7 linked regions of the Macaca fascicularis genome follow. The protein of the gene in region 6 binds, or shares a complex with, the protein of the main gene of each other region. Links are inferred from orthologs where the notes say so. Each region holds a gene or a part of one and is shown on either strand. Other genes may lie near its edges.

Region 1 (3,976 bases), on a different chromosome or scaffold from region 6:
CCGCCTTCCGGATTCAAGCGATTCTCGTGCCCAAGCCTACCGAGTAGCTGGGATTACAGGCACGCACCACCACGTCCGGCTAATTTTTGTATTTTTACTAGAGACGGGGTTTCACCATGTTGGCCCAGGCTGGTCTCGAACTCCTCACCTCAGGTGATCTCCCCACCCCCCCACCTCGGCTTTAATGATTTTTAATAAACGCTCAGGACCCTCTGACAAATGTCATGTTACTTGTAAAGATTTAGAAACTGTGATTCTACGAGAGGGGGTTATGAAAACAGAATTGCTCTGGAAAGGCTCTTCCATAGAGTTCAAAGACACTTTACACAGCCTGGTATTAAGATGCCCAAGCCAAGCCTAGAGGAAACAGCGAAGGGTCTTCCCCCTAAGTCGGTGGTATTGTAAGTGGGAAGGACCACAGAAACGGGCGGAAACAGTTAAAAGAACTGACACCACGAAAGAGGCCGCAACAAATGTTTGAAAAATAAGATCAGAAGAGAGGTGGAGAGAGGGTGAGCCGTAGCTGCGGGCGCCGGGGTAATGCCGGTGGACGCAAAGAAGTGAACCCGCACCCGTGGGCAGGGGCATGGGGCGCGGGCACGGTGGCGGGGCGGGCAGGGGGTAGGAAACAAAGGTCGGCTCCCGCGCAGAAGTCAATAAAGGGGGGAAAGCAGACGAGGAAAAGCCTGCAAAAGGTGGCAGGGGTGGTGACGGCGGTGGCGGTGGCGGCGGCGGCGGGGACGGCGCGCGGTGCCTGGCGGGGTCAGGGCCGGGGTCGCCCGCGGGCCAGGCCGGGGATCCGGCAGAGACTGGAACCCGCTAGGCCGCGCCGAGGGGCAGGGCTGGCGACTGAGGGGCCGCGGAGGGGACCGGCCGAGGAACGACGGCGAGGGGTTGTGGGGGGCAGGGCGCGCAGGGAGGCCAGGACAGGGGCGGGCGGGTCGGCGGGAGTCGCGGCCGCGGGAACCGAGGCAGGGAAGGGCGGTCAGCTTCCCGCCCCCGCTCCCGGCCGCCGCGGCGTGAGGGGAAAGGCCGGCGGGCGGCGGGCAGCGCCGCGAGGAGGAGGAGCCTGCGGCCCCGCCCCGCGGGAGCGAGGGAAGGAGAAAGGCTCACAGGGAAGAAGGAGGGAGGGAAGGGGGCGGCCGGCCGGGCCTGCGCCCGAGCGAGCGGCGAGCCGAGGGGGAAGGGGCCCGGAAGGAGGCGAGCGCGGCCGCGACGCCGGCAGTCGGACGCCCGCTCGTGCCGGCCTGCCGCAGCCGCCGCCGCCTTCCCCGTGCGCCGAGCCTGGCGTCCCGAGCGGCCGCGAAGGCCGGAACACGGCGGTCGGGCGCGGGGCGAGCGGCGCCGGTAGCCGGAGGCCCGGCCAGGCGTCCTGCGCGAGGCACGGCGGGCTCCTGCCTGCGAGATTAGGCGAGGGGCGGAAAGGGAGGCAAGGAGAGGCCGAGAGGAAACAGGCGATCGGATTTTCCAGGAGGCTGGTGTGAAGGAAAAACCCACCTCGAACTCAAATCCACAATCATAATCCGAATAAGGGAGCCGTCTTTCTGACCGGGCGATAGAGAGGGAGAGAAAAGGGGGAACGGGAGGAAGCGAAATCTCCGTTTCATGGAGGCTGAGGCAAGAGAAAATTTCGGAGCTTGGATGTGGAGGAGCCCAACAGCAGAACTAACTCAGGAAATTGTCTTTCAGAAAAAGGCCGAACGTAGGCTGGGTCTGAGAATCAGGCTGGGGTAGGTGGAGGAACCTGCAAGTTTAAAGGAAAAAGAAAAGGAGAGAATATTTTCAGAGATTATCTCTGGTTTGTTAATCATTACTACCATCTTAAAGGTAAAAAGCATTGCATTTCAGGTGTTCTTTGAATTTTTTTTTTTTTTTTTTTGGTGCAATTGGCTCATTTAAGAATTTCAAAACATTTAATGTAAAAGCTTTTCTTTTTCTTTTTCTTTTTTTAAGGAAGTCCATAAATTTTGGTTCCCAGGGTTGCACTGGACTTGGAAGGAGTGCTGTTGTGTACATACTATTGTATGGTTTTATTTATTTTTTTACTGTGCAAATCAGCTGGAAGATTTTTTCCAAGTGCCATTTCGGATTTATTAATCCTTTTTTTTCCTTTCCTCAAAGATATTTGCTGTTGTCATATTAAGCATTGGAGACTAGAAAATTATTTTCCCCCTTTGAGCTAGAGGGTCTCTTGCCAACAGAAGGACAGCTGAGAAAACTGGATTTAAAGGATGGTTTTATCTGTATTTTGCAGTTAACAGTGATATTTTGAAGGCACATTTTTCTGTGATTCATTTTTTTTAGCCCATAGTGCTAACCTTGAGGAGGTTTGTGGCTGGGTTTTTGGTTTCTGAGAAGGTCACAGTTTTTCCTCTTTTCCTTTTTTTTTTTCTTTTCTTTTTTTTTTTTTTTTTTTTAAAGCTGGGGAGGGGAAGAGGGGCTGAGAAAGGAAATCATGTTCACTGGTAGAAGTAGAGTGGAGCATCAGTTACCAGGGTCCTGAGAGCTGGAGGAGAAAGGATTCAGTCTTCAAGTTGGGAGGCCCTCCTCTCACCTTGCTCAAAAATTGGAAGCGATTCAATCCTGATCAACACACCAAAGCTACAGGATTCTGGAACCGTGGAGACACCGAGAAACCATGAGTGTAAGGTTGCCCCAGAGTATAGACAGGTAGGTTTGCTAATGATTTGATTTTTCAACATTGACTAAAAGACTGGGAGGGGTGGTGTTGCATTTTAATAAATGGTTGAAAATAAGGGTCTAGGTGGGCTTTGGGAATTGGGACTAGGAGCATTAGTCTCTGGGGACCGTCAACCTGTGTGGTTATGTGCTTTCTGTGTGTCTATGTTAAAAACACAGCTCTTAATTCAGCGTCTTTTGAATATAAGCAATAAACAGTGAAGCCAGGAGAGGAGAAGGAGGAGGATGTGTTTCCAGTGGCTTTTGACTTTTGCCAGGGTGGAGGCTGAATTTGAGTCCCCCCAACTTGCCAGCTCAAGTGGGCACAAGCCAGTCTTGTGAGCTCCTAGGGGTGCACTAGGGGGACTGGCTTTAGGTGTTGGAGCTGCTGGGAGAAGGGCCCTGGCAGGGGCGTGGGCCTCCACCAGGCTGGTTGGTATGGAATGGTGGGGCTTGGGGACAGGGTGGATCCCATTTCTAGAAATGAAGAGGATGTTCTTGGCCTGAATGATGGGACAGAAACATCCTTTGCACCCATGCAGGTCTGGATTTTTACCAGTAGCTGACATGGCCCCAAAATGCATAGGTCACGTTAGAATTTCCTCTCCTCCAAGCTTAGAGTTTAAATTGAGACCTGCCAACCGGCCGATGCTCTAGGTTTAATCTTCCAAGCTGTTCTTAATAAGCTGGACTCTGCAAAATGGGCCTTCCCTCTGCCTGGAGCCAGAAGAAATTGTTTTGGGCTCCTAGGCCTGCTGGGCAGCAGCACTGGCCCTCAGAGTCTGAACACATGACACCCCTTCCCCCAAGAGTCTGCCCAGCCACCTCTATCACTGGTAATGTTACAGTGTGGTTGCAATTCTTGCCTGCAAATGATTGGTACAACTTTGTAAGGTGTCTCTCTTTTCCTTCCCTCCCCTACCCCTCCTCAACCCTTCTCCCCATGAGAACCTTGCTATGGGGGTGTGTTTTGTGGGCACTGCACACATTCTAACTAGATAGATGGGTGGTTGAAGGACTGAACAAGCAAATGAAAGGACAGGGCCTGGAAAAAATATTATTGGAGAGATAGGGAAGAATATTTGCAAGGGAGCAATTGCTCCCTCCATGCCCAGTCCACCTTTGGTTATCCATGCTAATAATAATTTCCTTTTGGCTGTGGAATGTGGCCTAAAATGCATATAATCTCTCTCTCCCAAGCACTAATCTCTGTATTGCCTCAGAGTCCCATTTAGATTAGTTCAGCAATCCCTAGATGGGAACTGACTTGGCAGTGGAGAAGAGGAGGCAGACAGCC
Region 2 (4,222 bases), on a different chromosome or scaffold from region 6:
AAAAATGGTAATAATAATAAAAAAAAGACAAGCAGGGTTTAGGAAATTTATTTTAGGGCAACTGCTAGATTTATTTTAAGCCCTACGCTTAAAAATAAATCTAATTCACATGACTTAAAATGCTGGAGCCAAGAAAAGTCACTGCAAAGGCATTTAATGAGATACCTGGTTTGTCTAGTTGTCTTTGCTATGATTTTTGTATAAACCAAAAACGTCCTATCTTGATATATACAGTGGATTTTACATCTAAATATTTCTTGTATTTAATAAATTAAAAATAGAAATAGACATTTTTTTCAAACCATATAAGATTTTCCTAACCTCTGACTCACATCGTAAGGTTGGTGGACTGTTCAGATGCTGTACGATGCTTCTTACCCCGATGCTTTTTGGTTCATCTGTAGCATTTTCCATCATGGGGTAAAAGATCCACATTTTCTATTTCTAGTGATCCTTAATTTGATTTCTGAGCAAAAATAAAGTTTGATTAGAAATACATTAAGGTAGATTTCCTGCTGAAACCAGTGAAGAACATAACTTTATCAGCGGGGGTGAGTGACAAATCTTTCACCTTTCCTCACATCACAGTCAGTGAAGCAACGAACTAGGAGAAATGCCTATTATTCTCATGTCCTACGTCAGTTCTGATAAAAATCACACTTACGTTTCACTGAATGTTTTGACATTGAAACGACAGCATTACATGTCCAGGAGAGAACTACAGTGGGGGTGTTAATGAAGTAAGAGAACTAATACGAATGACTTAAAAATATTGTTTTTTTTCTAAGAGATTATTTTCCTTTAAAAAAATTAAATTGAGCTTGACTTCTATTGACTGTACCTTCCGGAGTCAATATTTTATGGCTCCCCTGACACACACGCCTGGCGTGGGAGGGTTGAGCGCTTCGAAACTTTCCCAGTGAATTGTAAATGGGTTCAAGGCTAGGGCTCCAGAGGGCTATCCATGGAGTACCACCGAAAACCAAACGCCGCTAAATGCTGGTACCTGCCCACGAAAAGGCTTCCTGCCTAAAGAAGAACGTATCACCCCATCCTGACAGTAACAAGAACAAGCACTATCTCCTCGTCAGAAGTCTCTGGACTTGCTACAACCCAGAGGAAACAGAGCTGGGGCATCTGCCGGGACAGCGACCAGAAGCAGCCAGAGCTCCGCCTCTGTCCGGACCTCCAAGGCGGCTCCAGAGCCCTGCAAGGCTCCTCAGAGCCGGCCAAGGCTCGGACCCTACCGGCAGCTGCTTACCCCACGTCTGCTCCTCCCGGCGGTCCGCCTTCTCCGCCCGCCTGCCCGCAAGGCCCCGCCCACCTCACCGCCCCGCCCCGCCCTGCGGAGGCGACACCGTGCGCGCGCGCGCGCGGGGTCCCGGCTGGTTCCCCTTCCGAGCGTCCGCGCCCCGCATGCGCAGTCTGCGCCGGCGGTCTCCGTTTGTTTGAACAGGAAGGCGGACATATTAGTCCCTCTCGGCCCCCCTCGCCCCACCCCCCCAGGCATTCGCCGCCGCGACTCGCCCTTTCCCCGGCTGGGACCGCAGCCCCTCCCAGGAGCTCCCCCATCAGCAGCCGCCGGGACCCAACTATCGTCTTCCTCTTCGCCCGCTCTCCAGCCTTTCCTCTGCTAAGTCTCCATCGGGCATCGACCTCGCCCTGCCCCACCGGACACCGTAGCAGCAGCCCCAGCAGCGACGGGACAAAATGGGAGAGTGAGGCTGTCCCGCGGGGACCAGCTCGTGGCCGAGACTGATCGGTGCGTCGGGCCGGGCCGAGTAGAGCCGGGGACGCGGGGCTAGACCGTCTACAGCGCCTCTGAGCGGAGCGGGCCCGGCCCGTGGCCCGAGCGGCGGCCGCAGCTGGCACAGCTCCTCACCCGCCCTTCGCTTTCGCCTTTCCTCTTCTCCCTCCCTTGTTGCCCCGAGGGAGTCTCCACCCTGCTTTTCTTTCTCTCCCCGCTCCTGCCCATCTCGGGACGGGGACCCCTCCATGGCGACGGCGGCCGGGGCCCGCTAGGCTGAAGCACCTCGTCGGAGCGACGAGGCTGGTGGCGACGGCGCTGTCGGCTGTCGTGAGGGGCTGCCGGGTGGGATGCGACTTTGGGCGTCCGAGCGGCTGTGGGTCGCTGTTGCCCCCGGCCCGGGGTCTGGAGAGCGGAGGTCCCCTCAGTGAGGGGAAGAAGGGGGAACCGGGCGCACCTGGTGACCCTGAGGTTCCGGCTCCTCCGCCCTGCGGCTGCGAACCCACCGCGGAGGAAGTTGGTTGAAATTTCTTTCCGCTGCTGGTGCTGGTACGAGGGCATTGTCACAGCAGCAGCAACATGTCGACTGGGGACAGTTTTGAGACTCGATTTGAAAAAATCGACAACCTGCTGCGGGATCCCAAATCGGAAGTGAATTCGGATTGTTTGCTGGTGAGTAGCGCTGTTCTCTTTTGCTCGTCTGGGGTTTTGCATGTCTTTCCTTCCTCTTGCATTACTCTGGTTCGCTGCAAAAGAAAGTCTCAGGTGTGCATAATCGTCTTGGAAAACGCTGGATTTCTGTTTCCCGAAGAATCTTGGAGTACCATTAACATCTCATGGCATGGTCCTATTTGCCATTTGACTGGCTCTGTACTAACTACTCTCTGAACTTTTAATTCTGACTCAGTTCATGAGTACCCGAAAGATACTTACAAACTGCTATTGCAGGCATCCTATAAAAAGTTATTACGTCAGAGTTACTGCAACGTATGTAGTTTGTTGAATGGCGATCGTAGTAATACTAATCTTTTTGATCAGTTTGACAGTTAAATTGAAAAGACTTTGCTTTTTTTTTTTTTTTTTTTGCGATTTAGCTCCTAGGCGTTTAGTTTTTAGCCTTGAAAGTGACAACGGATAATTGATATTGAGCAAGTGATTTTTGAGCCAAAATTTCATAGGTGATTTGAGTTTGAAGGAACTTTTGGCTAAACTATTGTAAAAACCCAAGATAATTGGTCTTAGGCCATTACAATGTTAACTTATTATATTATTGGTTACAAAAGTACTGACCATACAGTTATTGTAACTGTCTTTTTGGTGGTGTGGCACTTAACATTGTCACTTTTAAAACATTCTAAAGAGGGTTTTATGACATGAAAAACCAAAATCCCATTTTAAAAATAGTTAAGTGGTTGATAACCTACAGTTCTCTGTAAATAATTGGAATTCTTAGGTTTGATACATTTCCTCTGTAAACGAGTTTCTGAACAACTAAGGGTTATATAGTATTTCTCTTTTAGTCCAAACAAAACCACAAAATCTCTACAAATAAGGTTTCAGGGAGTACGTATATGGACGGGATTTCACAAAGTCTTCGGTGAAATAATGTTAGAGATGCTCAATTTTGGGAATTAAGATTAAGGAAACAAAATAATACCACTCAAAGAAATAATACAATTCAAAAATCCCATCTTGAATCAAAGGAAAATTAATGTAGATTGTTTAAAATTAACGTGCATATTTTTCCACGTGTATGGACTTTACAAGAAGCTTCCCAAAGCTTTCAGAATTATTCTAAGCATCCCTGACCAGGAAATAAGAGTATTGTGGGTTATTAGAAATGTCTTATCACATTATGGATGCTCTTCATATTGAGAAATAGTAAAGAAGGTTGATGCACAATGGATTTTAAAACATTTTATTAAACGAGATAAGTGGAAGGAATTAGAATATATCTGTCTAGTAAGGATTTCTATAACTTCTAAGAAGTCTGATTTATCTTTTAATATTTATCCAGTTTTCATGTATTTTTGAGTTTATTTTGCTTTTTGATCTCCTTATTACATGAGATGGTGTTATAGGGAGGGTTTTGTAGCTTTCTTTTTTTATTTTAATCATCTTCCAGCCTCTTGCTATAGCTTCATTTGTTGGGGACCTTTATTTAGATGTGGAGGATACAAGGAAATATAAGTCATGGACTCTTTCCCCGAGAGTCCAATCTATTTAATGGAAGACAAAACCTTATCTCACATATATACACAGAAACAAAGCCAAACACTTCACAGATTGAGAAATGTGATAAATTCCAGATGATTGTTTAGATAATGTATGATCTTGGAAATTGAGAGGGAGAAGTCACTGTGAATTGAGAGAGCCAAAGTATGTTTCATGATGGATGGATAGGATTTAGATAGAGGGTACTCAGGAGGAGTGGAGGATAACGTGAATAGAGGATAGAGACATGACTGGCTATGA
Region 3 (4,112 bases), on a different chromosome or scaffold from region 6:
AATTTGATGCTCTCATTTAATAGATCAGGAAAGACACAGGGTGAAGCGGCTTGTCCAAGGTTGCCCACCAGTGGCAGCTAGCATATTTATTTATTACGGACCCAGCATGTATGTTCCACTGTTCTCACATGTCTCATTTAACATCTGCATTCTACAGATAAGGGGATGAGGCTAAATAGGTGACACAAGGTCCTGTAACTAGTGACTTGGCAGAGGCAGCCAAGATCTTCCAGCTCTAACATGCCCTTTCTACTAGCCCACAGGAGGCAAAGAGGGCTCTCCGTTACCTCAGGAAGTCCGACGTCAGCCCCAGCTGTCCTCTGCCCCAGGGAAAGCAGTGAAGGTGAGTCAGCCACTGCCCCGCCCCAGAAGCTGTTATCTGGGAAGAGAGTGGGGGAGCTGGTCAAATATACTGCCGCCTGGTATCCACAACAAGCCATGAGCCCCGGATATGCTGAGTTCCTTGGTCACCCTTGTTCCTGGTGCTGACACTAGGGCCCTTCTCAGTGCAGCTGCCCTTGTAACCGCTCCACCCTGTACTTTCATCACAAAAAAATACAATCTTTCCTCCTCCATTGCTGTAACCTGCCTCTTAAAGGGACAAACAATCAGGTTTTTTTTATTGTTGTTTGTTTGTTTGTTTTGAGATGGAATCTTGCTCTGTTGCCCAGGCTGGATTACAGTGGCGTGATTTCGGCTGGCTGTAACCTCTGCATCCCGGGTTCAAGCGATTTTCCTGCCTCAGCCTCCCCAGTAGCTAGGATTACAGGTGCACACCACCACCCCCGGCTAATTTTTATATTTTTAGTAGAAACGGGGTTTCTCCATGTTGGCCAAGCTGGTCTCTAACTCCCGACCTCAAGTGATCAGCCCGCCTCGGCCTCCCAAAGTGCTGGGATTATAGGCATGACCCACCATGCCCGGCCAACAATCAGTTGTGAAGCCTAATTTGAGAGGGCAAAGGACGCCACTGACCCCGCTGAGGACCCTGCTGTGAAGTGGGTTTCCAGCTGCAGCTGTTTCTTTCCTGGAGATGTCCGCTTTCTCCCCTCCCCAGTTTCTCCCTGACCCTGTTGGAGGAAGGATGAACCTTCCCTGGACTGTCAGGTTCCCGTATAGTCTCTCCTCAGGGTGACCCCAGCATGGCTTCTTGTACCTGTTTCCACACAAGTCTGAATTCTGTAGCCGCCCTGTGTTCAGGGAATGCTGAAGACAGAGGGACCCAGGAGTCCCTGGGATCAGTAGTGGCACTGAAAGAGTTAAGGGCCTGGGCACAGCACTGTTTAGGGTGTTTGAAGTAGGGCGGGGAAGGGAAGGGCTGCAGTGGATGAAGAGGCAGCTGGTCTGTACTGGAATGAGTTCCCCCTTATGCAAACTTCTGGACCATGAGCAGCTCCCTTAAAAGGACCAAGAGAGAGGGGACCCCCACCAAGGTGCTGGACTGGTTCTTAAAGGGGCCACCTGAAGCAGGACTTTTTCCCACACTGAAGTCACCAACTGAGGGCAGAAACAGGTCTCCCATCTTTGGGATATCTCCCAGGTCTGGTGAGTTTCCCTCTCTCCTTTCCTGGGTCCTTGCCCTCAGACCCTCTCTTGCCCCACCTGTCTGGCATGGCACCCAGAACACATGCCAGGAAACTGGCAGGAGGTAGAAGAGGACTGGTTGGTCTTGACCCTTTTCTTCTCTATCCCCCACAAATAAAGGGTTAGTCTGGGTCCCAAGCCCCTGGTAGAATAAGCATACAGCTACAGGTCCAGCAGAACGGAAGAGGGCAGGGTCCCTAAGTTCAGTTTACTAACCAATTAAAAAAAAAAAAAAAAAGGCGGTCACACTTGGAAGCCCAGAGCAGCAAAATTCCTGACTGACTTATGAACCTAGTACATCAAGGACATGGGGATGATTTAGGGAGAGTGTCTGAGATGCCTGTGGCTGACTTAGTAGAGGGGTGTGTAGTTAGATTAGGGGGCTGGGGACGCCTTGAAATTCCAGAACTAAGTACAGATGATAATGCCTCTCAGGAGACAACCCGGAAGCTGATACGACAGATGGCTTTTGCCCATACTGGCCTCTGCCCCACTAAGGGATGGTAGCCAGGGCCCACCATTGTATTTGTGCATAGACTCTTCTGGGTCCTCTTCTCTGTGCCTGACACTTAAAAGGTGCTAAAATAATCTTTGCTGAATGAATGGATCCTCTATATCTTTTACTTTGCTTTCATTTTTGGAATTGTGGCACTACTCTCTGACAGTGGACAGGAAAGTCAGAGAAGGAGAATGAGTTCCAGGACACCAGCGTTCAGCCAAGTCAGGCAGATGGGTGAAGCAGGAAGGTATCAGAGACTTGGGTGCTCCTGTCTTGGAATGGGGTGTCTAGGGAGCACATGGGAAGGAATTGTAGCTCCTGGAGCCTTCTTTATCTGAGGCGAAGAGAAGCTCTGCTTTAGCCTTCTTTGCAGGGCACTGTTGGATTAATGGTTTACTTTCTACAGGAGAAGAAATGTTAGGTTAAATTTTGAACCATCAAAGAGTTTTTGTGACCCTGTGTCCCACCCCCAGGGCCAGGAGATTTGGAGGAGAGCCAGTACAACATGTCATTTGGCCTCTCCTTTCCTCCTCAGCCTTTATTATCCGATTCTCTTGGGTCTTCTCCAATATTGGCCACCTCGCTAGATTTAGGATCCCAGAGCCAGACTCAAAGCTTCTCAGACTGCGAAAGGGCCAGCCAGCATTGCCTCCAAGCAACAGCACCTGGCTGTTTGGTTGCTGTCAGCAGTTCCTCCCCCATGTTCGGTGTTCGCTGGCAGCAAACATAACCAGAGACCTGCCTGTGCCCCATCACCTCATTCAGGGGTCTAAGCTAACACAGGGAGCAGAAAGGATACACTGAACTTCTTTGGGACCCCTATCTCATTTCTTTTGGAAGCTGCTTCGTTTCTTTGGCTGGGGTCAGGGAGGTAGGAATGAGGTGGGTAAAAATAATGTTGCCAGATTTCTTTCAAAGCTAGCCACTTGGCCTGGTGTGGTGACTCATGCCTGTAATCCCAGCACTTTGGGAGGCTGAAGTGGGTAGATCACCTGAAGTAAGGAGTTCAAGACCAGCCTGGGCAATATTGTGAAACCCCCATCTCTACAAAAATACAAAAATTAGCCAGGCACAATGGCGGGTGCCTGTAATGTCAGCTACTTGGGAAGCTGAGGTGGGAGAATTGCTTGAACCTAGGAGGCGGAGGTTGCAGTGAGCCGAGATCGCGCCATTGCACTCCAGCCTGCCTGGTGACAGAGCAAGACTATCTCAAAAAAAAAAAAAAAAAAAAAAAAGGAAAAAAAAAGCTAGCCACTTGATAGGCTGGGCACAGTGGCTCAGGTCTATAATTTCATCTCAGCACTTTGGGAGGCCAAGATGGGTGGATCACTTGAGGTCAGGAGTTCAAGACCAGCCTGGTCAACATGGTGAAACACTGTCTCTACTAAAATTACAAAAATTAGCCAGGCGTGGTGGTGCACGCCTGTAATCCCAGCTACTCAGGAGGCTGAGGCAGGAGAATCACTTGAACCTGGGAGGCAGAGGTTGCAGTGAGCCGAGATCGTGCCACTACACTCTAGCCTGGGCAACAGAGCGAGGCCGTGTCTCAGAAAAAAAAAAAAAGCTAGCCACTTGCTTTCTTTGAGAGCTTGTTTTCTGGTTTCAGAAAAGAATTCAGGCTCCATAATGTGATGGATCAGCTTTGAAAACTCATCTCCGCCTCCTATCAGCTCTGTGACCCCCAGCCAGTTACTTAAGCTCTCTATGCAGCCTGTTTCTTCATATGTAAAATAGGGATAATAATGTCTGTTTCAAGAAATATTTGTGAGGATGGCACAAAATGGATGTTGGCACTCATTATCTCTCTCTATATAGGCCTCAGATGACATTTAGGAAGTAGGTATGTTGGCTGGGTGCAGTGGCTCACACCTGTAATCCCAGCACTTTGGGAGGCCAAGGTGGGAGGGTCACCTGAAGTTAGGAGTTTGAGACCAGCCTGACCAACACAGTGAAACTCCCTCTCTACTAAAAATGCAAAACTTAGCTGGGTGTGGTGGTGGGTGCCTGTAATCCCACCTACTTGGGAGGC
Region 4 (3,500 bases), on a different chromosome or scaffold from region 6:
CACAAGCAAAATCAGATTTAGCTAATCGGCATTCTGGAATACTAAAGAAATAAAGGAATACTGAACTGATTTATATACAATTTATTTTTAAAATTACTAAAATCAACTTTCCAGACACAGAAAGCTAAATAAGACTTAAGTAGGCAGTATAATCCTGAAATAAGCATCATCAAGGTCTCTCCCTACTATGTAAATTGAAATAATTTCACTCCACATTCCTCAATTTCTGCTGATTTTGAATTTTACCTAATGACCCTTAATTCTCAACTAATAGTATATATCTCAAAAGGGCAAATTATGGTTTGTTATTTCAAAACTGAGATTAAAATACTATATATATATATAAAAGTTACTCAGAGATAAATTATAATAAAAACATAAACTATTTCTTCACTATTTGTCATTAATAACCACGTACCTCAAGACACATACTAAATTACCAATAAATTTCTGGCCACACCCCATCAAAATCAGGTAACAGCAAGAATTAGAACCTAAGTTACCTTATTCCTACAAAAATGCTCAAACCTTTCTCTCTATTTACTTTCCCTATGCCTGAAATTTACTTCTCACCTGTGTCCAGCCCTCCTTCCCCTCAAAAAGTATGTTCCACACAAATAAAATTTTTAAAAGAACTATAAAAACCATATCCAACATTTAATAAAACTTTATATTCAAACTTTCAGTAAGAGCAATGCCCATTATTGTATAGATTGGTATCCCCATATATATCTGAAGTTTTCCCTTAGTTATTTTTATTAAATCTTGATAAAAGGACCCAAAGGCCAAAGATACAAACTTTGCATTGTTATGCATGATTTACTTGTTTCTATCCTGTACAATTCAATCTAGGTGAGGTTCATAATTTAACACACAATCTAGAAAAATCACCACCATACCTGGTTTCTGAATCGTACTGCAGACAAAATCTGCTTTTAGAGGCAAGCGGATTTCTGACAAAGTAACTGATCCTTTGGATGGCATAAATTCACTTTGGGATACAGGACTAGCCTTATTCTTCCTCTGAGGTCCTTCGTTCTTCAATTTATTCAATTCGTCAATCAAAAGTGTTCTCTTCTCAGCTATGTGAAACACGCAATATTCCAAATATTAAAATTGTAACTGTTTCTAATGAGAGCAAATTCAAAAAAGTGTACTGATGTGGAAACTGTACATAACACATGAAGACGAAATTAGTAACACTATCTTTATAAAACAGACGATAGGTGGATGGGGAAAACCTTGATTGCTCATCTATTTACCAAGTCCTTATGATTTAATAAATCAACTTTCAGCTAGTTTTCATGTATGGTATCATCTGTCCACCCCAACATGCCCCATCATCACCACATATATGCACACAGCAAAATTCAGTTGTTTTAGCTATTTATTGATAACGGAAGGGAGGGAGAGACAGAGAGAGAGAGAGAATGTATGGGTACATGTGTATATATAGAGATTCATTCATTCATCCATTCATTCATTCAATCTGCACAACTGCATTTCTTCGAATGCATTTCAGTTGCTTTTACCTTTCATGCAAACTACAATTTGTTTTACATAGAGTTCTTAAACCTTATAAAAACAAGAACAAAAAACAGATCCACTGGAACAGATGACTAGGAACAGCCCTTTCTCTAAACTTAAAGATTTCTAAATATCAAAATGAGTTTTCCCTGATTAGAAATTTGTTGGAATTCTTTCAGGTACATCACACGTACTTGCAATTAGAAGAAGTCTTTCTGCTTCAGCTTCTTCTAGGGATCCTTTTCCATGCTCTTCATCAACACAGCAGTTAAGAGCCTGGCTAGCTTGATAGATCACTGTCTGTTGCATATTTATTTCGTTATTGAGTTCCTAGGAAAACCAATGAGAGGAGAAAAAATACACATATTTTAAATCATCATTTTCACTTTAAACTTTAATTCTAACTAACTTGATTGGATAGTTTCTAGAATTTCCAGACGGTAAAGTCAAAACGTTAGTTTCACTGCTCAAGTTTCTAGACTATGCACCAAAAACATTTAGCATGTTATAATAATTAAGCTATAAATATTATTTCTTATGAAAAAACTTCCAATTCATATTTATTAAAGTTAAAATTGGGGTTATGTCCAACAAAATAGAAATTTATAAAGTATTTGATTCATTTTATTTACATCACAATTACACTGCTTTTTAAATATGCTTCCTTAGGGCCAGGCATGGTAGCTCACACCTGTAATCCCAGCACTTTGGGAGTCCAAAGCACAAGAATCACTTGAGCCCAGGAGTGTGAGATCAGTCTGGACAACACGGTGACACTCCATCTCTATTTTCTTTCATAATTAAAATTTTTTAAAAAGCCAGGCATGGTGGCTTATGCCTGTAATCCTAGCACTTTGGGAGGCTGAGGTGGGTGGATCACTTAAGGTCAAGAGTTCGAGTCTGGCCTGACCAACATAGTGAAACCCCATCTCTACTAAAAATACAAAAATTAGCCGGGTGTGGGGGTGCATGGCTGTAATCCCAGCTACTTGGGAGGCTGAGGCAGAAGAATTGCTTGAACCCAGGAGGCAGAGGTTGCAGTCAGCCAAGACTGCGCCATTACAATCCAACATGGGCAACAAAGAGCAAAGCGGTGTGTCAAAAAAAAAAAAAAAAAAAAAAAGCTTCTTAGCATGAAAAAACCTTGAAGTGCATAACAAATTTCCCACTACATCATTACCCAATTAATAGTTATACTTTAAGGATATTTATGAAAAACCTGTTTAAAAATAAATATTTCAGCAATATCAAAGAAGTTTCCAACTTTTCAAAATGAGTACCTTTCCAAAAATAAACTGAATTCAAATGTGATTTACTGAGCTTCTGTGCATCAGACACTATTCTGGCCACTCAGGGTTCAGAGATGAGTAAGGCTGGGCCCTTGTCCTCACAAAGCTCACAGCCTAGTGCAAGAAACATTCCAAATCCCCTTTCCACAGAAGTACATACCTGCATTTTCTGTTTGATATTAACTTGACAAGGAAAGGCATTATTTTTTTCATCCAGTTTTGAAGTAACATCTTCCTTCCGAACAATCACCTGCTTTATTGATGGACGTTCTGTTTCTTTGAATCTTTGAGATCTATATGCATCAATGCTTCAGGAGGTAAGTTACATTCTATTAGAAATCTAGCAACACACTGAGCACTATCCTTTATTGAATATATCAGCAGAATTTGACACTGATATTGAACATGTCAGCAGAACATTTCACAACAGAATGGAACTCTCATTTGGTGAAAGAGAGGCTAACAAAAGTTATTCCAAACTTTTATACAGATGAGTTATTAATAACATTATAATTACAAATTATAACATGACTTAATGTCAATCTAAACCATGACCCTTAGTGAGTGAATGCCTTCCAGAAATGTTCTTACCTGTAAAGAAGATCACGATCTTCAGAACCAAGGCTATCACCAGATTCAGCCCGAGGGACACGAGTTCTTTGGAATTTTCCTGGTTTTGGACTT
Region 5 (3,945 bases), on a different chromosome or scaffold from region 6:
TTTTTTTCTTTCTTTTTTTTAGACAAGGTCTCGCTCTGTCACCCAGGCTGGAGTGCAGGGGCATCATGATTGCTCCCCACAGTGATGCATTCTCGGCCTCTTGAGCTCAAGCGATCCTCCTGCCTCAGCCTCCTGGTAGCTGGGACTACAGGCATGCGCTACCATGCCTGGCTGGATGGATTCTAGATCAGAATATTCTCCTCCTTCTCTCTTTCTGTTGTTAATATCCCCCAAAGAGTTGCTCAGATGAAAAAATAAGAGAGAAAACATCGCGCCCTGGTTTCCGGGACGACTGAAACCACGCAGAGCCACGCGTAGCTAAGGTACCCACAGCCCACGGCGCTTCCTCGGGTCCCAAAGGGCGCCAATGTGCAGACACCGCCGCCAGGGAGCGCTCCCCGCCGGAGCCCCGGAGACCAAGGTTTGGCTCCCTCGCCTGGTTTCCGAAGGAGTGAGGGTCCGACGGCAGCCGTAAACAAAGCTGCACGCTCTGCAGACCCCGGAGATCCCCTAGAAATTCCTCAGAGGCCTCCACTCTCCGCATGGGCACGAGTCTGCATTTATGGAGCGCCATCTGCATGCAGCAGCCCCGAAAAAGAAGGCGGTGCCCATTTTATTGTGTGGAAAACTGAGACTCAGAGGCCACAGGGGTTCCCAGGATGAACAGCGAGTTGGGATTCAAACCTCTTTTAATAACAATAACGATAATAGAGGTCAGGCGCAGTGGCTCAAGCCTGTGTAATCCCAGCACTTTAGGAGACCGAGGCGGGCGGATCACCTGATCAGGAGTTTGAGACCAGCCTGGCCAACATGATGAAACCTCATCTCTACTAAAAATATAAAAATTAGCCGGGCATGATGGCGGGCATCTGTAATCCTAGCTACTCAGGAGGCTGAGGCAGAAGAATCGCTTGAACCCGGGGGGCAGAGGTTGCAGTGAGCCGAGATCGCACCACTGCACTCCAGGATGGGCAATAGAGCGAAACTCCGTCCAAAAACAGCAAAACAACAAACAATTACGATAACATTAAAAGTGACAGCAGCTAACACTTATGGAGCGTCTAGAGTGTTCTCAGCTCTTGGCCTGCACTGTCTCATTGAATTTTACCAACACCTAGGAGGTGAGCGCATCATTCCCATTTCACAGATGAGGTGCCTGGAAGGATTTGGCTTCCCCAAGGCGTAAAGCGCTGGCATTTGAATGCAGATCTGCCCAGAGCTTGTCTCCAGGTAACGGGGAAACTTCCATGCCCTTGAATAGGGGACCACAGATGCAGGCGTCCCGAGCTTGCAAATGCACAGGGATGGGGTGGGGTGGGGGGGTTATTTTTTTTTTTTCAGGGGTTCTGGGAGGCCCAAAGGCCTCCGCCGCTCTCGGCTTGAACGCGGGGAACCGTTCTCCTCGGGTTCCCGCGCGCTCCAATGGGGGACCTCTCGGCAGCGTGCGGTCGTCGCAGGACCCGGAAAGAGGAAAGGTGGGGAGCCGATCGGGGTGCTCCGAGCTCGGGAGACTGAGGGGGCGGGCGGGCGGGACCCCGCAGCCCCGGGGGCCTCTGGGAGCCCCTCCCCCTCGGCCCCGCCCCCTCCCCGGGCGCCGACCTCCGGGGTCACGTGACCGGGCCCGGCGGCCGCTGGGGCTGGAGGGCGCGGCGCGGGGACGCGGCGGCCTGGGCAGGCGAGGCGGGAGCCTAGCAGGCCGGAGCGGGCCGCGGGCCGGGGAGGGTCGCGCCGCGCCCGCCCCCTCCCCGCCACGCCCGGGGCGCACGCGCGCTCCTCTGGCCGCCCCTCCCTCCGCGCGGGGACCCCTGGCGGGCGGCAGGAGGACATGGCCAGCGACGCCTTGCAGGTAGGCGCACCTGCGTCTGGAGTCCCGGGGCGACCGGACGGCTCCAGGGGACCCCGCCCTCGCGCTCCCGGGGGAGCCCCCCAGCCCCCCGAACGGGACTCGGGTGGCGATGGCTAGGGCGGGGACCTCCGGAGCGCCCGGCGCCCCCTCCCTGGGCCGGGACTGTGGAGCCAGCGAGGCCCCCTTCTCGGCAGGTGGCGATGTGGACGGGGCTGGTTTGGGGGCAATCTCGGAGGCACCCCCCGCTGCACCCCCAAACTCGGCCTCTCCCAGAGAACTAGAAGGGGCGCGGCGGAGGCTCTACTTCGGGTGTCTGTGGCTGGCTGGGAGTCCCGGTGCCTCTCGTCCGCCCCCAAACTCATCCCCCTCCCCAGGGTTGGGTGCCCGGCAGGTGCCGCTCCACCTGGGGCAGGTGCCTGGCGCAGTGCCGTGGGAGGGGAGGAGGCCGCCGGGCCCGGCCCGTGCCCTTCCCCCGCATAACAAAGCTCCAGCCACCCCCGCCTCTAGACAGCTTTATAGTGTTCCAGACGCCACCCAGATTGGCACCTGTTGGCGGAAGTACCCGAGTCACTGCATTAGGTCGGGGGACTGGGGACCCCCGCTCCTACTCTTGGACTGTCAGGTGGAACCTTCTCCCGGGTGGGGAGTGCCTCAGTCAACAGGCCAGGGATGCTCCCATATATAGAATCCTACTTTTTTGCATGGTGGCTGGGCAGGGCTGGGTCACCCCCACCCTCCTAACACACACACGTGACTGGCACCAGCCTTCTGCCCAGCCAGATTCCCCCGTGCCACCTGGTTGGTATCACTGACCTGGACTCATCTTCCCCGTCTGTGACAAGCAGGGCCAGCGTGACTGCCAACCTTCTTTGGTTCAAGTGACCCAAATCTGAGAAATGTCTGTGCCTCGGTGCCCCCATTTGCACCTCACCATCCAGTTCATCGTCCTGTGGCTGTTGTGTAACTGGGTTCTCGTCTCCTTCTGCACCTGCCCCCTGCCCCTCTGTGTCTCCCCCGTAACCCCCGGTCCCTCCCACCTCCCCAGTCCTGCTGATGGCCTGCCGGCCTTGCCGAGGAGCTGGGCGTATCTGGTGTTGCCGATCACACAAGGTCAGACCTCAGGGCCGGGATGGGCCGGGGTCCCTGCCTCCACCCCCGGCCCAGGGAGGGCTGTGTAGGAATCCCCGGGCGCATGCATGCGCTTGGCGCGTCCCACACATGACCCAGACAGGCTGTGATTCCTGCAGTGAGGCTGGACCCACGCCCTGGTCCCCCCTTCCCATCTCCTCCTTAGTCTCTTCCCTCCTCCTGGTCATCCCTCTCTCATGGTTGCTTGGGCCTGCCGCCCTGTCCCTCTATCTGTCCCAACGTGTGCCTGTCTGTTCTGTGTCCTGCAAACGGATGTCCTGTCCAGATTCCGGAAACGCCCAAGGCATTGAAATCTCCGGATGTGGGGGTCTAGGTCCCTGGCTGCTCTGGCAAGATGGGGATTCTGGGAGGCAGGTCCTCTGGGTCTGAGGTCTCCGCTCCATGGTGGGCAGCAGAGGAGCAGGGGTTCTCCATAGGCCAGGCCAGGCCCCTGAGTCCTGGGTTTGCCTTGGTGGCCCTCAGGTGACCTGTATGCCCTGGGAAGAAGTGAGTCACTCAGGGGAGGAGAACCCAGGAGCCCAGCCTCCCTCCCTCTCTGCATTACAGACCTCAGCTGCTGGAGGTGGGGCCGAGGGAGGCCACCTTTCCTCTCTGCCTGGACTTCCCCAGTTGAGCTGACCCCGCTCTTGGCTGTGTCCTCCCTCTGCCTGCTGGGGATGGGGTGGGGCCTGACTGAGTGAGGGTGGTATTTGGTGAGCCTGGGCTTAAATTCCGACGCTGACACTTCCTTGCTGTGTGTCCTGGGCCCAGTGCCTTCGCCTCTCTGAGCCTCGGTTCTGACCTAGGAAAAATGGGACTAAGAGGGTGTTCATGGGAGAGAGAGACCGAGACCTGGCCAGCACTTGGCAGGCGGGGCTGCTGTGAAGTCATTACTGGTAAGCGTCCTGGTCAGCAGCTCAGGGTGTGAATCTGTGTCCTTACTGATTGATTTACTTGTTTATATTTATTTA
Region 6 (3,500 bases):
GTGTGGGCCTTGGGTCCCTTTCAGCCTAGGTTTCCCATGGCTACTTTATTTAAAATGTATCCACCTAGGCAGGGCACGGTGGCTCACACCTATAATCCCTGCACTTTGGGAGGCCCAGACGGGTAGATCACCTGAGGGTCAGGAGTTCGAGAACAGCCTGGCCAACATGGCAAAACCCTGTCTTTACTGAAAGTTAAAAAAAATTAGCCAGGCATGGTGGCACACACCTGTAGTCCCAGGTGCTTGGAGGCTGAGGCAGGAGAATGGTTTGAACCTTGTAGGTGGAGATTGCAGTGAACCGAGATTATGGCACTGCATTCCAGACTAAGCAACAGAGCAAGACTCCATCTCAAAAATAATATTATTACTAAATAATATTAAATGTTATTTTAAAATGTAACTGCCTTGTAAACTAGATGAGTAAACTAGATGAATTCCAAATACAAAGATGAATAAACTAAGGCCAGGCGCGATGGCTGATGCCTATAATCCTAGCACTTTGGGAGGCTGAGGCTGGCAGATCACTTGAGGTCAGGAGTTCTAGACCAGCCTAGGCAACATGGTAAACCCCTGTCTCTACTAAAATACAATAACTAGCTGGGTGTGGTAGTGTGCGCCTGTAATCCCAGCTGCTCCAGGGGCTGAGGCGGGAGAATCACTTGAGCCTGGGAAGCGGAAGTTGCAGTGAGCTAAGATAGGGCCACCGCACTCCAGACTATCTCCCAAAAAAAAAAAAAAAAAAAAAAAAAAAGTATACCAGATGAGTTCCAAATGTAAAGCCATCTCTTTTGGGGAAAGACTTTTTTTCTTTTTTTTGGTTGCCCTGGCTTAGCCTTTTTCTGGAGTGTCTTAACTAACTGATAGAAGCTTGAATGTGATCATTTCATTAGCCTAAACACAGCCACATAATTCAGAAGTCAGTATTCTTTTTTTTTTTTTCTTCTTTTTTTGAGAGGGAGTCTTGCTTTGTCGCCCAGGCTGGAGGGCAGTGGCACGATCTTGGCTCACTGCAACCTCCACCTCCCTGGTTCAAGGAATTCCCCTGCCTCAGCCTCCCAGTAGCTGGGATTACAGGAACGCACCGCCATGCGCGGTTAGTTTTTTTGTTTTGTTTTGTTTTGTTTGAGACGGAGTTTCGCTCTTGTTGCCCAGGCTGGAGTGCAGTGGCACGATCTCGGCTCACCACAACCTCTGCCTCCCAGGTTCAAGCGATTCTCCAGCCTCAGCCTCCTGAGTAGCTGGGATTGTAGGCATGCAAGACACCAAGTCCGGTTAATTCTGTATTTTTAGAAGAGATGGGGTTTCTCCATGTTGGTCATGCTGGTCTCCAACTCCCGACCTCAAGTGGTCCGCCTGCCCTGGCCTCCCAAAGTGCTGGGATTACAGGCGTGAGGCACCGCGCCCAGCAATTTTTTTGTATTTTTAATAGAGATGGGGTTTCACCATGTTGGCCAGACTGGTCTCGAACTCCTGACCTCAGGCAATCTGCCCGCCTGAGAGTAAACTCAGTATTTGTATGTTTTTGTAGAGATGGGGTTCTTGATTTTTTTGAGACAGAGTCTCACTCTGTTGCCCAGGCTGTAGTGAGTATAGTGGCAAGATCTCGACTCACCACAACCTCCACCTCCTGGGTTCAAATGATTCTCCTGCCTCAGCCTCCCGAGTAACTGAGACTACAGGTGCGTGCCACCGCGCCTGGCTAATTTTTGTAGTTTTAGTAGAGATGAGGTTTTGCCATGTTGGCCAGGCTGATCTCGAACTCCTGACCTCTGGTGATCCACCCACCTCAGCCTCCCAAAGTGCTGGGCTTACAGACGTGAGCCACTGTGCTGGCCGGAGATGGGGTTTAGCCATGTTGCACAGGCTGTTCTTGAGCTCCTAGGCCCAAGCTGTCTACTTGCCTTAGCCTCTCAAAAGTGCTGGGATTACAAGTGCGAGTCACCACACCCAGCCTCGTTTGGTTATTTTCAAAAGTCATTCTTTTTTTTTTTTGAGATGGAGTCTTGCTCTGCCACCCAGTAGTGCAGTGGCGCGATCTCGGCTCACTGCAAACTCTGCCTCCCGGGTTCATGGCATTCTCCTGCCTCAGCCTCCCGAGTAGCTGGGACTACAGGCACCCACCACCACGCCCAGCTAATTTTTTGTGTTTTTAGTAGACATGGGGTTTCACCGTGTTAGCCAGGATGGTCTTGATCTCCTGACCTCGTGATCTGCCTGCCTCGGCGTCCCAAAGTGCTGGGATTGCAGGCGTGAGCCACTGCGCCTGGCCAAAAGTCACTCTTGAGCCATTTGAAATACCAGTAAACCTATAGGGTAGAAGTTATGCTGAGAGTCCATGAACAAGTTAGAAAAGGAGCATATAGACCCTGGGTCAGCTGCTGCCCTAGAATGGGCACCCCTTCTGTAAGCTATGTCAGAATCATCTACCAGCAGTAACGGATGTCCTGTAAAGTGCCTGCCTTTGTGGGGCAGGAAGTACCCCCGTGAAGCTACCTTGTGTTGTGGATCTTTTGCTCCTCCAGAGCCCTTCCTTGGGCCCCACCTACAGAGATGCTCAGCACCATTCTTGGCTATACTGAGAAAAAGCTGGTGGTTCTCTGTTTAAAGGAAAGGGATTATATTTGCCCTTTTTTATGGTTTTGAAACTAGTGGGTTTCATTAAATGTCTAGCATTCTTCTGAAGCCACAAAGAAAGTGTCTCTGAATTTCACTGAGGTTCTTGGAAAGTCTTCAAGATAGAATTGTATGTATCCCCAAATTCTCTACATTTTTTTTTTCAGAAAACATCCCAGAAAAGTGGACCCCGGAAGTCAAGCATTTCTGTCCCAACGTGCCCATCATCCTGGTTGGGAATAAGAAGGATCTTCGGAATGATGAGCACACAAGGCGGGAGCTAGCCAAGATGAAGCAGGCATGATCTGGGGCAGGACTGTCTTGTATTATTCTTGAACTATGGCCCCAAGGTTGGAGGTTTGGGGAGCCCAGCAGAAACCTTCACAGGCCAGGTTGTTTTAGAGGCTCAGAAGCCCCTCTCTGGCCCTCTGACCCTCATTTATTGAGATCTTCACAGAAGATCCCTAAAATAGTTCACTAGTTCTGTGAGATGGAATGTTTTTTATGAGGTAGTGCTATGCCCGTAAGGACTGCTGGCCTGGGAATGAACCATTTCATCAGTAGCAAGTAGTCAGTGGCTTTAGATGTAGGAACTTTCTTTTTTTTGATATGGAGTCTCATTCTGTCACCCAGGCTGGAGTGCATTGGTGCAATCTCAGCTCACTGCAACCTCCGCGTCCGGGGTTCAAGCGATTCTTCTGCCTCAGACTCCCGAGTAGCTGGGACTTACAGGCGCCCTCCACCATGCCTGGCTAGTTTTGTTTGTTTGTTTGTTTGTTTGTTTGAAGTAGAGATGGGGTTTCACCATGTTGGCCAGGCTGGTCTTGAACTCCTGACCTCAAGTGATCTGCCTGTTTTTGCCTTCCAAAGTGCAGGGATTACATGTG
Region 7 (3,500 bases), on a different chromosome or scaffold from region 6:
CTCTTTCCTGTTAGAAAAGGAGAAAAAAGCAGAGATAGAGAACATGGGATTGGAGGAGGTAGAAGAGAAATGGGAAAATAAAAGGAGGAAGGAAAGGAGAAGGACGATTTGGAGGAGAGAGAAGAGAAGAAGGAGAGAAAAGAGGTGCAGGAAGAGAAGAGGAAGAGGAGAGCAGGCAGAGTGGGGGGCACGGGGGCCAGGCACTCACGTTGGTGAAGAAGAACAGGACCCCAGTGAAGAGCGTAATGACCTCGCCAGCCAGCCGCAGGTAGTCCACCGTGGTGCGGTAAGGGTACGGTGGCTGGGGAGCAGCAAGGGCACACAGGTCGTCACCCGGCCCCTCCAACATCTGGCCCCCAATCCAGATGTTCCCCCAGACCCAAAACATCTGGATCCCATGTAGCCTCCTCCTTCACTCTCTTGCTCCTGAGTCCCCCTCCTCCCAGCTCAGGGCCACCCCTGCATGTTGGAGGGCGCCTCCCCAACCTGTTCCTAAACCTTCTCCAGTTCCTCCTACAGGGGACCCAGAGGGACGAGGTTGTGCCCCCATCCTGCATGGCTCAGCCAGTGCCTGCCCCAGCCCCTGCCCGGTCCCTGGGCACTCACTGTGCCCTCCAGCGGCTGGTAGTAGGCGGTGAGGGTGAAGATGACCATGGCGCATAGGTAGGAGACCACGTTGATGTAGAAGGACACGGCCCCGAACTTGCGCCACTTGTCCCGCAGCAGTTCATTGATGGGCTCCACAGCCAGCATCTCGTGGCGGTTCTGTGAGAGGCAGGGTGGTCAGGGGCTGCCTTCCTGAGGTGGGGGGTCCTGGCAGGCTGCCCCGGCTGTGCTTTCCCCCACCCTCCACCCCGATAGCGCTTTCTCTTTCCATCCATTCCTCAGCTGCGTTCAAGGATTCATGGGGAACTGGACAGATACTGAACATCAGCCCCAAGCTCCCGCACTCACCATTTGAGATTCTGCCCAATTCTGCCTCAATGTGCCTTTCCGCCCTATTCTAGCGTCACAGAACTCAGAACTGGAAAGTCCCTTAAAAGACATTTATTTTCAGGCAGGGCACGGTGGCTCACGCCTGTAATCCCAGCACTTTGGGAGTCCGAGACAGGCAGATCACCTGATGTCAGGAGTTCAAGACCAGCCTATCCAACGTGGTGAAACCCTGACTCTACTAAAACTACAAAAATTAGCCGGGCGTGGTGGCGGGCACCTGTAATCCCAGCTACTCCTGAGGCGGAGGCAGGAGAATCACTTGAACCTGGGAGGCGGAGATTGCAGTGAGCCTAGATTGTGCCACTGCACTCCAGCCTGGGCGACAAGAGCGAGACTCCGTCTCAGAAAAGAAAAAAGGACATTTATTCTCATGGTTCCCAAACTCCAATCTGTGGATAGTACCAAGCTGTTGGCCGCAAAATCATCTATGTAGCTTGCCGCAAGTATAAATCCTGGCCTCCATTCTCAGAAATTCTGATTCAGAGAGAAAGATTGGGAAATTTTTGCCCAAAGATGATAAATGATTGACTTACCACAATTCTCCAATTCTGAACCCAGGGCAGCCATCAATAATTGAGCCCTGCACAATTGTATTCATACAGTTCCCTGGGTAGACACTACCAATCAATCAGTTTGCACCTGAGATGCTAAACCTGCTGCCACTACTAATTTAAATCAAGGTGGCCACTAATTAAAAAAATAAGAGAAATGAGGTCTTGCAAGGAAGCCAAGCTCACAGACCAGTAAGCCACAGGGCAGGGTTAGAAGGGTGACCACCTGCACCCAGTCCCCAGCATTTTCTGCTCCCTTTGTATAGATTCCTAGCCCTTTAATGACTTGAGTTTCTCCATAATCATGATTTGTGCAATAACACAGCCACAGAGATGCTCTTGTAGTGTTATTCCTGATAGTTACAGGCAGAAACAAACCCAAGCGACCAACAATAACAGAACGGTTCATTTGAATATGGTACATTTACATGCAGCGACAATATTACCAAAGAATATTTAAAACTACAGAATGATGTTCACAAAATATTGCTAAGTAGAAAAATAAAAAGCTTGTTTTGTTTTGTTTTGTTTTTTGAGACAGGGTCTCCCTCTGTCACCCAGGCTGGAGTGCAGTGGCATGATCTCAGCTCACTGAAGCCTCGACCTCCCCAGGCTCAGGTGATCCTCCCACCTCAGCCTCCCAAGTAGCTGGGACTACAGGCTCGCACCACCACGCCCAGCTAACTTTTATTTTTATTTTTATTTTTGTAGAGACGGGGTTTCGCCATATTGCCCAGGCTGGTGTCAAACTCCTGGCTTCAAGCAATCCGCCCACCTTGGCTCCCCAAAATGCTGGAATTACAGGCATAACCCACCACGCCTCGCTGAAAAAAAGAGCTTTCAAAAGTTCATATAACAACCACGAATGGTAAAAGCTGACATAATCTTTACTCTGTACCAGGCCATTCTAAAATTAACCTCTTTGGTCCTCCCAACAGCCCCATGGGATATGTATGATCCTTATCCCTAGGTTACAAATGAGGAAGCTGAGACCCAGAGAGGTGGGGCCACTTGTCCTGAGACACACAGCATGTAAGTTACAGAGCCAGGATCCCAACCCAGTCCTACCTGCTCCAAAAGTCCACCTTCCCACAAGTCTTGCTCATTTCCTCACATGCCAGACACTGTTCTGGGCACTTAATTGGCACCTTCTCTTGCAGTCAGCCAACAGATCCACCACGTTGGGCACTAGAGGCTGAGGCTCTCTCCCCTAGCCCAGCCCCAGGGCCCCATCCCTGCTCCCAGCCCTGCCCCTCCTTCCTCGCACCCCATGCCCTCTCCTGGAGCCCACCTCAATCTTGCTGTTGTACACCAGGATCTCCAGCACGGAGGCCTCTTCCCCACATGTGTCCAGGGAGGAGAGGTCATAAAGCGAGGAATATACTGGCCCGTAGGCCCAGTCCTTGAACTTGCGGGACAGGTGCCGTGTGTCCTCATCCGTCACCTCCCGCCGGATGATGTGCTGAAAGATCTACACAGGGGGCCAGGAGGGTCAGGGGGCTCACACTGGAGAGGTCCCCAGGGCTGGGCCCAGCTCAGCACATGACGCCTCCCCAGAAAACAGCTGAGCACCGGCTGCTGGAGGACCCCTTCCTCATCTTGTTTAATTCTTGCTCTTATTATCTTGGTTTACAGATAAGGAGTGGAGGCTGGGAAAAATGAAAGGTGTTCCAGAAGACACTTAACCAGTCAGCTGGAGCCAGACGGAACCGGAATGAGCCTTCAACATCTTAATTGTAATGAATATGTTCTTCGTGCCATTAAAATAGCAATGAATCCATCTTAATAATATGTGAATTATAATACTGACGATCATATGCGGTCCTTCCTGTTACCACTCCTTCCCTGGCTTACACACAGGGAAGCTGAGGCACAGAGAGGGGTTGGGAATTGCCCAAGGTCAGGCAATGTTAGGATTTTGGGGTTTGTTTTTGTTTTGAGATAGAATCTCAC

What was found.
Region 1: the proteins of RHOA (region 6) and ARHGEF11 are in contact, whole or in part, in a crystal structure (PDB 1XCG), measured with the Homo sapiens proteins. The link is inferred for Macaca fascicularis from reciprocal best matches to the Homo sapiens genes RHOA and ARHGEF11. Residues at the interface, in NP_001300870.1 of Homo sapiens: Arg5, Thr19, Val33, Tyr34, Pro36, Thr37, Val38, Glu40, Asn41, Val43, Asp45, Glu54, Ala56, Trp58, Asp59, Ala61, Gly62, Gln63, Tyr66, Asp67, Arg68, Leu69, Arg70, Leu72, Ser73, Pro75, Asp76, Pro96, Glu97, Pro101; in NP_055599.1 of Homo sapiens: Asn715, Gln717, His718, Glu737, Val738, Glu741, Thr745, Ser748, Ser837, Lys844, Arg867, Arg868, Leu869, Gln870, Arg872, Asp873, Ile876, Met879, Gln880, Arg881, Thr883, Lys884, Leu887, Leu888, Ser891, Arg914, Leu917, Lys918, Val920, Asn921.
Region 2: the proteins of RHOA (region 6) and ROCK1 are in contact, whole or in part, in a crystal structure (PDB 1S1C), measured with the Homo sapiens proteins. The link is inferred for Macaca fascicularis from reciprocal best matches to the Homo sapiens genes RHOA and ROCK1. Residues at the interface, in NP_001300870.1 of Homo sapiens: Val38, Phe39, Asp65, Tyr66, Arg68, Leu69, Leu72, Pro75; in NP_005397.1 of Homo sapiens: Lys999, Val1003, Asn1004, Leu1006, Ala1007, Met1010, Asn1011, Arg1012.
Region 3: the proteins of RHOA (region 6) and ARHGEF2 are in contact, whole or in part, in a crystal structure (PDB 7G9I), measured with the Homo sapiens proteins. The link is inferred for Macaca fascicularis from reciprocal best matches to the Homo sapiens genes RHOA and ARHGEF2. Residues at the interface, in NP_001300870.1 of Homo sapiens: Arg5, Lys7, Lys27, Gln29, Val33, Tyr34, Val35, Pro36, Thr37, Val38, Phe39, Glu40, Asn41, Tyr42, Val43, Asp45, Glu54, Trp58, Asp59, Ala61, Gly62, Gln63, Tyr66, Asp67, Arg68, Leu69, Leu72, Ser73, Pro75, Asp76; in NP_001155855.1 of Homo sapiens: Asp215, Ser216, Ser218, Leu219, Asp238, Val239, Glu242, Thr246, His249, Cys342, His345, Ser346, Leu349, Lys353, Lys376, Arg377, Gln381, Glu382, Leu385, Leu386, Thr388, Gln389, Ile391, Thr392, Lys393, Leu396, Leu397, Arg400, Lys423, Leu426.
Region 4: the proteins of RHOA (region 6) and ANLN are in contact, whole or in part, in a crystal structure (PDB 4XOI), measured with the Homo sapiens proteins. The link is inferred for Macaca fascicularis from reciprocal best matches to the Homo sapiens genes RHOA and ANLN. Residues at the interface, in NP_001300870.1 of Homo sapiens: Tyr34, Val35, Pro36, Thr37, Val38, Phe39, Glu40, Asn41, Trp58, Asp65, Tyr66, Arg68, Leu69, Pro71, Leu72, Pro75, Asp76; in NP_061155.2 of Homo sapiens: Met729, Thr732, Val733, Tyr735, Gln736, Ala737, Gln739, Ala740, Cys743, Cys744, Glu748, His749, Gly750, Ser753, Glu755, Glu758, Ala759, Leu762.
Region 5: the proteins of RHOA (region 6) and PKN1 are in contact, whole or in part, in a crystal structure (PDB 1CXZ), measured with the Homo sapiens proteins. The link is inferred for Macaca fascicularis from reciprocal best matches to the Homo sapiens genes RHOA and PKN1. Residues at the interface, in NP_001300870.1 of Homo sapiens: Met1, Ala2, Phe25, Ser26, Lys27, Asp28, Gln29, Val43, Asp45, Ile46, Glu47, Gln52, Glu54, Thr163, Lys164, Arg168, Glu169; in NP_002732.3 of Homo sapiens: Glu40, Arg43, Arg44, Ile46, Arg47, Leu50, Lys51, Lys53, Glu54, Glu57, Asn58, Arg60, Arg61, Leu77, Arg78, Ser81, Leu84, Asp85, His88.
Region 7: the proteins of RHOA (region 6) and TRPV4 are in contact, whole or in part, in a cryo-EM structure (PDB 9IQX), measured with the Homo sapiens proteins. The link is inferred for Macaca fascicularis from reciprocal best matches to the Homo sapiens genes RHOA and TRPV4. Residues at the interface, in NP_001300870.1 of Homo sapiens: Met1, Ala2, Ala3, Arg5, Tyr34, Pro36, Val38, Phe39, Glu40, Asn41, Tyr42, Val43, Glu54, Trp58, Glu64, Asp65, Arg68, Leu69, Leu72, Pro75, Asp76; in NP_067638.3 of Homo sapiens: Lys177, Arg179, Thr181, Glu183, Glu184, Arg186, Pro188, Arg224, Glu225, Asn228, Ser229, Pro230, Arg232, Arg237, Asp263, His265, Ala266, Gln267, Arg269, Asp313, Arg315, Arg316.

Annotation. Positions count from the first base shown.
Region 1 is NC_088375.1:104,028,736-104,032,711, forward strand, and holds the start of ARHGEF11 (rho guanine nucleotide exchange factor 11), read left to right. Parts: upstream 1-1,176; 5' UTR 1,177-2,638; coding exon 2,639-2,670; intron 2,671-3,976. UniProt on the Homo sapiens protein: May play a role in the regulation of RhoA GTPase by guanine nucleotide-binding alpha-12 (GNA12) and alpha-13 (GNA13). Acts as guanine nucleotide exchange factor (GEF) for RhoA GTPase and may act as GTPase-activating protein (GAP) for GNA12 and GNA13.
Region 2 is NC_088392.1:68,652,323-68,656,544, forward strand, and holds the start of ROCK1 (rho-associated protein kinase 1), read left to right. Parts: upstream 1-1,422; 5' UTR 1,423-2,326; coding exon 2,327-2,419; intron 2,420-4,222. UniProt on the Homo sapiens protein: Protein kinase which is a key regulator of the actin cytoskeleton and cell polarity.
Region 3 is NC_088375.1:105,084,526-105,088,637, forward strand, and holds the start of ARHGEF2 (rho guanine nucleotide exchange factor 2), read left to right. Parts: upstream 1-1,312; 5' UTR 1,313-1,545; intron 1,546-4,112. UniProt on the Homo sapiens protein: Activates Rho-GTPases by promoting the exchange of GDP for GTP.
Region 4 is NC_088377.1:93,874,680-93,878,179, forward strand, and holds part of ANLN (anillin), read right to left. Parts: coding exon 3,408-3,500; intron 3,125-3,407; coding exon 2,977-3,124; intron 1,858-2,976; coding exon 1,722-1,857; intron 1,083-1,721; coding exon 900-1,082; intron 1-899. UniProt on the Homo sapiens protein: Required for cytokinesis. Essential for the structural integrity of the cleavage furrow and for completion of cleavage furrow ingression. Plays a role in bleb assembly during metaphase and anaphase of mitosis.
Region 5 is NC_088393.1:14,864,576-14,868,520, forward strand, and holds the start of PKN1 (serine/threonine-protein kinase N1), read left to right. Parts: upstream 1-1,145; 5' UTR 1,146-1,247; coding exon 1,248-1,475; intron 1,476-1,626; exon of another isoform or gene 1,627-1,825; coding exon of another isoform or gene 1,826-1,846; intron 1,847-2,040; exon of another isoform or gene 2,041-3,870; intron 3,871-3,945. UniProt on the Homo sapiens protein: PKC-related serine/threonine-protein kinase involved in various processes such as regulation of the intermediate filaments of the actin cytoskeleton, cell migration, tumor cell invasion and transcription regulation.
Region 6 is NC_088376.1:112,362,189-112,365,688, reverse strand, and holds part of RHOA (transforming protein RhoA), read left to right. Parts: intron 1-2,780; coding exon 2,781-2,911; intron 2,912-3,500. UniProt on the Homo sapiens protein: Small GTPase which cycles between an active GTP-bound and an inactive GDP-bound state.
Region 7 is NC_088385.1:116,664,565-116,668,064, forward strand, and holds part of TRPV4 (transient receptor potential cation channel subfamily V member 4), read right to left. Parts: intron 3,337-3,500; exon of another isoform or gene 3,183-3,336; intron 3,019-3,182; coding exon 2,839-3,018; intron 2,580-2,838; exon of another isoform or gene 2,518-2,579; intron 2,416-2,517; exon of another isoform or gene 2,293-2,415; intron 766-2,292; coding exon 607-765; intron 302-606; coding exon 209-301; intron 1-208. UniProt on the Homo sapiens protein: Non-selective calcium permeant cation channel involved in osmotic sensitivity and mechanosensitivity. Activation by exposure to hypotonicity within the physiological range exhibits an outward rectification.